2 linked regions of the Caenorhabditis elegans genome follow. The protein of the gene in region 2 purifies or fractionates together with the protein of the main gene of each other region. This does not show direct contact. Each region holds a gene or a part of one and is shown on either strand. Other genes may lie near its edges.

Region 1 (3,756 bases), on a different chromosome or scaffold from region 2:
ACTATTTGATAGGAAATTTCGGAATTACTCGTAATTAAATGGAGAATAGTCGGGATTTGATTTAGACGGCGATAAGGCTTCTTGGTGATTTCTTTTTCTCGACGTTCTTGGCACACTTGAATCGGTGTCGAATGAAACTAGTCTGTTCTTTTGTCGTTCATCATCTGATTTTGTCGTATAGTCTCCGAACGAAGGAAGCATACTTTTCTGATGTTTTTTAGATTCATCCGCGTTTTTGGGCAAATATGATGTTTCAAACTGAATTAATAAAACTTGAAATTCCATTTCAAAAATTTAATTCAACTTACAAAGTCTTCCTGGCTGTCCAGATTCAGAGGATCCTCATTGTGGAAGTTGGCTTCATCAAATCTAGGCTTTGATGCACTTGCTTTGATGGGAGCTTGTTTTTCCTCCGAGCCAATTTCCAAATAGTACGGGTCGCGTGCTTCTTCTATTTCCTGCTCGTACTCTTCGAAATCACTGAATATATGTACTATTATTGAGCTCTTTCTGAATAGAAGTTACCTCGACACAATATCATGTGAATAGAAAGGATCTTGTGGTAGATAGTCTATTTTATCATTGAATTCTTCACGATACAACAACCAATCAGACCTCTCGATTAAATAATCGAAAACTGGATTCTTCTGATACTCTTCAGATTTCTGAAAAAAAATACACACTATTTCCGTTAATGTCTCAGTGAGCACTGAATCCAACCGTCTTTGCTAGAGCAACTGCGACAAGAGCCTTTTCAACTGTTCCTATCGTGGTCCCGGTGTGATTTTGAAGTGGGATCGGACGAATTGAATCGATTCGGCGTAGACGTGAAGAAAATCGATTTATACTTTGGTCCAGCGTGGGAGAAACTTTTAATCTTTCTATTCTCATAGGCTTCATATTGCTTTCTGCATCTTGGGATCCCCACTTTTTCAGCCACGGAAGAACATGCTTCACTGAACGACCCACAGTCGAAGCTCCAATGGTTTCTTTTTTCGTTGTCTTAGTTTTCCCTTGTTGTTCTTCTTCTTCTTCAGAATTTAATCTCTTCATTGGAGGTAGTTGATTTCGAGTTTGTTGATCTTTCTTCACTCCAATATCGCTAAAATCCCAAGTTTTTGAAATATTGCTGCGTGGAAAATTTGAAAATTTTCTTATCGGAGTTGGGGATGCTGAACGCCCTCTTGATGTACTCAGATTATCGTCCGAATTCTGGAATACGCTGTGGTTGGTTAACTTTAATTTTCACTTTAACAATAACCTGAAATGAAACATTTGCAGAAGATGGGAGGGAACTTTTGGCATTGGCGAACATTCCAGCTTGAACATAGTGTCTCCGATGTCTCTGCAAACAACACATCACTGTTTTATTGCACAATTCCAATGATAAATTTTTTTGAACACGTGTTCTTTTCTTATTTAAAAAAAATGGAATGGGAAAAATTCATTACTTTTTAAAACTCACATCCTGTTCGCTCGATCTTTATGTTCCGACTAACATACTAACTACTAATGTTGTAAGTTTGATAAATAATTTGAAGATGTTACCTGGGGGAATCCATTGACATCTACAGCTACAGGGCGATTACCTGAACAATTTGTTGTTAGAAGTTGGCTTTTTGGAAAAGAGCTTACTTGGAACTATTCTCTTGAAGCTTGAGATTGTTGGATTTTTGTAAAATCTTCCTTTTCGAAATTTAATTACTTCTCGCTGTGGATGCATTATAAATTTAAAGAAAAAAGTTCAACAATAATGATTATTTATTATAATAAAAAACAATAAATGTTCCAAACTGAACATTTTTCAAAAACTACTGTAATCGTGGCGAGACCCCAAATTAACTGCGAAAGTATGCGCCTTTAAAACCGTATGGGAGAGAAACCGCGATATTTTTCTTTTTCACTCGCATTGATTTCATTTTTCGAGATTTGACGATTTTCTGGCTTTACGCATGCTTTTTCAGAATTTATAAGAATTAATAACCGCTAGATTATGTCACTAACAAACGTTTTTTAATATAAATTACACATTATTCACTTAAATTGTGTGTTTTTATGTCGAAAAACTGCCGTTTTAGGGAAGCATAATTTCCGGTTGCTCTCGGTTCTCCAGATCTTAATCTCATCATACAAGTAATGCAAATTCGCCCCAGCGGTGTTCTTTTTCGACCACAACTGGCGGCAATTTCGAACGTGCATGCCATTTTGACTAAACGTTGATTATTTATTTTTCCTACGGCTCTTACAAAGCTTGAATTTCCTCGAAAGAATTTTAATCTAGTTTTCAGCTCAATTTTCGTTTGAAAAATATAATTGTTTTTCAGTAGCTATCGATTCTCCACAATGAACAACAAAGGACGCACGCCCGGTAGTGCCGGAAGAACAGTCAGATCGTCCGCACAACAAAATGTACAGGAAGTTCAATTATTATATTGTTGGACATAAAGTTTCCAATTGCAGGGTCTGACAATGCGAAAAAGAGACATGACACCCACTCGCAACACAAACTTGCTACCCAACGCAACTTTCGTAGGTGATCGATTTCTTGGAGTCCGACTGGATCAGGATGAACTCGATCATGCTAATCATCTCATGACGAGTAAGCTCTACAGCAACGTATGTGGAAACAATTTATGAATAAAATTCTATATTGATGAAATTTACAGAAAGAGAATTTGAATAATTCCATGTCCGAGCCCAACAGTCCGGAGAAGAAAAGTGTGGAAGGAGAAGCTCTGAAACAAATGATGCGCCACAAATCCACTGGAGCTCTTACCGATGCTGATGATGGAGATCGCATTCTTTGCTATAAGAAAAATCTCGCTCCACCACCAGCAATTGGATATATTAATCAGGCAAAAGTAGCGATTATTACTTTAATTTAATTTAAAAATCGTTGGAAATTAGTAAAACTCTAATTTTAGGTATTGTATAGTACAAATAGTGTGATCAATCCAGCATCGTCAGTGAAAAAGTCGACGAGACATGTCAAAGAGACTGCGACGAAAGTCCTGGATGGACCTGGACTCACTAGTGAGTTAATATATGTGTTCTTTTTTCTCAAGTTTTCCATTAATTTCAGAAGACTTATATTCACGTCATCTTGATTGGGGATGTCACAATTGGGTTGCAGTCGCTTTAGGACACGAATTATACCTCTGGAACACTGAGACATGTGTCATCAAGGCAAGATTTTGATGGCCACTTTCAAAATATTGTTTTGTTTTTTTCCAGAATCTCTTTGAAGACAATGCTCCGACTAACGAAGGTCTGATCACCTCAGTACGATGGAGTCAGGAAGGTCGATATATTTCCCTAGGATACGCATCAGGAGCTGTCAAGGTACAATTGCTGTCAATATATTTGATCAAGTTTTCCTTTTTCAGATCTATGATCCAAATCGTCCGAAAACCACTGAGTATGTGCGTGAGTTGAGAACCCTTCGAGTCGGTGGAGCTTCACGATGTGGTCAGTTAAAATGAAAGACGGAGTGATGCTTCAACTTCATTATTTTTTCAGCTTCAATTGCATGGAGAAAGCAAGGAGTGATGACATGTGGTTATAAATCAGGAGACATTGTTAATCACGACGTCAGAATCTCTCAACATGTTGTTAGTTCGTGGGGAGGCGACAATGGTCATTGTCGTGACGTCACAGCTCTCGAATGGTCTGCAGATGAGAATATGTGCGTCAGTGGATCATCTGATAGAACTGCAAAGATTTGGGATGGCCGTCACGTCAGAGGAAGTACAGTTA
Region 2 (3,756 bases):
ATTCACAAATGCCTCATCAAAATAAAGTTGGCACTTTATCGATGAAATCGCATTTTCACTTTCCATGGTATACGATTCAGAAAACTCACAGAGACAATTAGAATTTTCTGGGTTTTCTTCCAACACATTGTCATTATCAGGCTTTCGAAAAAATTCTACAGAGCTATACTTTTTTTTTATTTACTTAAAAACTTTCTTTAACTGGAGAAGTCTGAAGAATTAATTACTAAGTTCTTTGAACATTGCTGTAGCAAAACAAAGAAAAAGTCCTACAGGGGTTCTAGAACATTCCAGAATTTTCCCCAATTTTTCAGTTCTTGAAACTTCCAGAAGGTACTAAAACAAAAATAGTTTCACAGAAAACTTGAATTTCCCTCAAAACAATGTTCTCATAAATTTTGAATTTCCCGCCCAAATTTTTAAGGGTCTCACCACAATGGGTCTCAGGTCTCACCACAATGGGTCTCAGCAAGGTCTCACCACAACAATTCCAGAATTTTCACGAATTTTTCAGAAGGTTCTAGAAAATTCAAGAATTTTTTTTCGAATTTTCCAGAAGGTTCTAGAACATTCCAGAATTTTCTCGAATATTCCAGAAGGTTCTAGAACATTCCAGAATTTTCTCGAATATTCCAGAAGGTTCTAGAACATTCCAGAATTTTCTCGAATATTCCAGAAGGTTCTAGAACATTCCAGAATTTTCTCGAATTTTTTAGAAGCTTCTAGAACATTCCAGAATTTTCTCGAATTTTTCAGGGGCTTCTAGAACATTCCAGAATTTTTTCGAATTTTCCAGAAGGTTCTAGAACATTCCAGAATTTTCTCGAACTTTCCAGAAGGTTCTAGAACATTCCAGAATTTTCTCGAATTTTTCAAAAGGTTCTAGAGCTTTCCAGAATTTTCCAGAAGGTTCTGGAACATTCCAAAATTTTCCCGAAGTTTCCAATTTCCCTTCCAAAGACGGATAGTCAATTTTTCCCAAACTACAATAATCCTACAGTACTCCTACAGTACCTCTCCAGTACTACTACAGCACCCCGACCATATCCCACTACTAACCCCAAACCTATATCTCTTCAAAAGACAAAAGCTCAATTTTTCCTAAACTACAGTAATCCTACAGTACTCCTACAGTACCTCTACAGTACTACTACAGTACCCCGGCCATATCCCACTACTAACCCCAAACTAATATCCCTCCAACAGCCGAAAACGCCTTGCCTTTGTAAGCTATGACGTCACAGACTACAAACTACGGCACAAACGGAATTATTTTTTTTATATATAGGTTTTATATATAGGATTTTTAATACGAGCATTTGGCTTCCCAAGCTTTCATAATCGCGACGAGGCCTAATTGTTGATTTATCGGGGTATGTTTTCTCATCAAATTCTTTGTACCGCGCATGTATGAAACATTTGAACAGGTGTGTCCTTGTGATCTTCATGGGATGTAATTTCGGTAGTGGTTTGATCCAAAAGCTCAATTCAAAATGGAAACCATGGAAATGAATATTTTAACGCTAACAATTTAACTCTGAGATGCACTTTTTCAGAACAACAGCACACTTTAAAAGTTATGCGATCGATTGAAAAATTGATTAAAATTGATTAATCAATTTAATTGGTGATTTTAAAACTTCGAGTACTGTAGCCAAAAGTGGTTGCGTACTTGACACATTTGACGCGCAAATGCACAGAGACTCCATTTTGGGATTTTCAGATCGTTTTTTTTAAAGTTTACTCGTTTCTCTTCGTTTTTTGTTCGTCAATTTATTTTTTTGTATAAGAAAAATATAAAAATACTAGTTTTAAGTAATTATATGGAAAAATCCCAAAAAATGGATTTTTCAGACTTGAAATTTGTTCAAAAAATTGACCTACCAAACAAACAAACATAAAAAACATTTAGCGCTAAATATTCAATTTTCGTTGAGAATTCTTTGTTTTCCATGTTCACATTCACTTCTTCCAAATTTTCCTCGCGTTTTCCATTAATAAAATTATATTTTTACAGATAAAATCTTAAAATGAGCGAAGCTCCTCACTCTTCCAGCATGGCGGATAGCAATTCCACAGTAGAACAATATCGTTCGTTGAAACGGTGAGTAATTGAAAATTAGATTCTAAAAATCATGATTTTCCAGGAAAATGATCGAGAAAAAGGATCTGATGAGAAACAATCGAACAGCACTTCGCGCATGTATCCTGTTCAATTGTCTCCTCGGAACTTCAATACGAGACGCTTATAATCAATTTTGCCGAGCCGTTGGATCCGATGTTATGGAATATCGAGAATACGAGTTCTGGTTCTATCAATTTAAAAGAGGAGATGCTGATTTCAGCGATGCAATTAGGTATTTTCAGAGACTTCAAAGAAATCAATAATTTCATTTTTAAAAAATTGATTTTCAGTTGGAATCCAAACACAATAAAGCTTGATGAATTGCCAATCGAAGTGATTAATACGATTTCCAGCTTCTCTATGCCAATGGAGAGGTTTGTTAGCCAGTTTTATTCAAATTTAAAATGAAAATTTTCAGACTAACGCTTCGAAAAGTGTCTAAAAACCTGCGCACACTCATCGATTCTGAGCCGTTTTGTTTCCAAAGGATTATAGTACGAATTGGACATCGAACATCGTATCTTCAATTGGACGGTTATCCGGGAATTGAATATATTCATTGTGGTGCCGATTGCAATGTTTTATATGGAAAACGTGATAAATATGTTAAAAACAAGAATCACGTTGAATATGCTCTGACGGAAGCCATTCAATTGATGAGAAATTCAAATAATCACAGCAAAGAGTTCCACGTGAGAGCAGAACGATCAAACGATCAGGAATTGTCAATGGTTCTCAGGAAATTTTTCGATTCTGTGGAAATTGAGCTTTATGCGAAGAAAATTGTCGTCAGTGGATTCAGTTTTGCCGATACATCTTCGGTTCTTTGCCATTTCAAAGCGGGATTTCTCGAGGAAATTCAGGTGTTACCGGGTTCCGGTGGCCCGTGGACCAACGTACTCGTCGAAATGGAACAATACAAGAAGGCAAAAGTATTGAAGATTTGCACGGAATTTCCAGTTTTACTGGATATCGAGGATTTGCTGCATTTCCGACGGTTCGAAATTGCGATAAAATCAGATTTCACTGAAAGAATGGCCAGAAAAATTCGCGATGTAAGTTTCCATTTTAATTTTCGTAAGTTTTAAATTTAATTTAATTTATTTTCCAGGTTCTCACCAATTCTGAACATTTCGAATATGCCCACATAATAACTCAAGATCTTCACCATCGGACAGTCATTAAATTCTTCAATCGAAATGCTGAAAATGTATTCTGGAATTATGGATCCATGAATTATAATAACAAGAAGCGCCTCTTCCACATTGAGTACAATCACCGACAATTTGTAATCAAAAAATTAAACATGTAGATAATCAAACAAAAATTGCCTTCTTCTCGAAAATGTATGTACTGATATTTGATTTGCACACTTACCCCTTGTTTTACTCTTTTTACTCTGAGATTTTTCTTGCAATAAACCTTTGTTCAGGTTAAAAATAAAGCACATTATCACGAAAAAAAAACTGTCAAAGAATAACTGAATTCACAAAAAAGTTTCGGTTCTTGCAAATTTTCAAATTCAGTTTTAAATTGTTCCATTGTCATACACTTTAGCAGACCTGCTCATATTTAACATTATACAGAAAATGGAGATAAATTGGAAATAAAAAATATTGATTCATCATTTC

The links.
Region 1: the proteins of fbxa-215 (region 2) and F12A10.8 fractionate together in Caenorhabditis elegans (co-fractionation; one large-scale study listed by BioGRID). This does not show direct contact.

What each region holds. Positions count from the first base shown.
Region 1 is NC_003280.10:5,499,309-5,503,064, forward strand, and holds the start of F12A10.8 (uncharacterized protein), read right to left. Parts: upstream 1,757-3,756; 5' UTR 1,724-1,756; coding exon 1,636-1,723; intron 1,590-1,635; coding exon 1,549-1,589; intron 1,346-1,548; coding exon 1,262-1,345; intron 1,213-1,261; coding exon 721-1,212; intron 666-720; coding exon 526-665; intron 481-525; coding exon 309-480; intron 259-308; coding exon 29-258; intron 1-28. Other genes in the region: WD repeat-containing protein fzy-1, read left to right, coding at 2,344-2,409, 2,461-2,616, 2,667-2,861, 2,925-3,033, 3,083-3,186, 3,235-3,342, 3,387-3,468, 3,520-3,756.
Region 2 is NC_003282.8:13,665,171-13,668,926, reverse strand, and holds fbxa-215 (F-box domain-containing protein), read left to right. Parts: upstream 1-2,017; 5' UTR 2,018-2,030; coding exon 2,031-2,104; intron 2,105-2,147; coding exon 2,148-2,357; intron 2,358-2,415; coding exon 2,416-2,499; intron 2,500-2,543; coding exon 2,544-3,180; intron 3,181-3,236; coding exon 3,237-3,437; 3' UTR 3,438-3,563; downstream 3,564-3,756.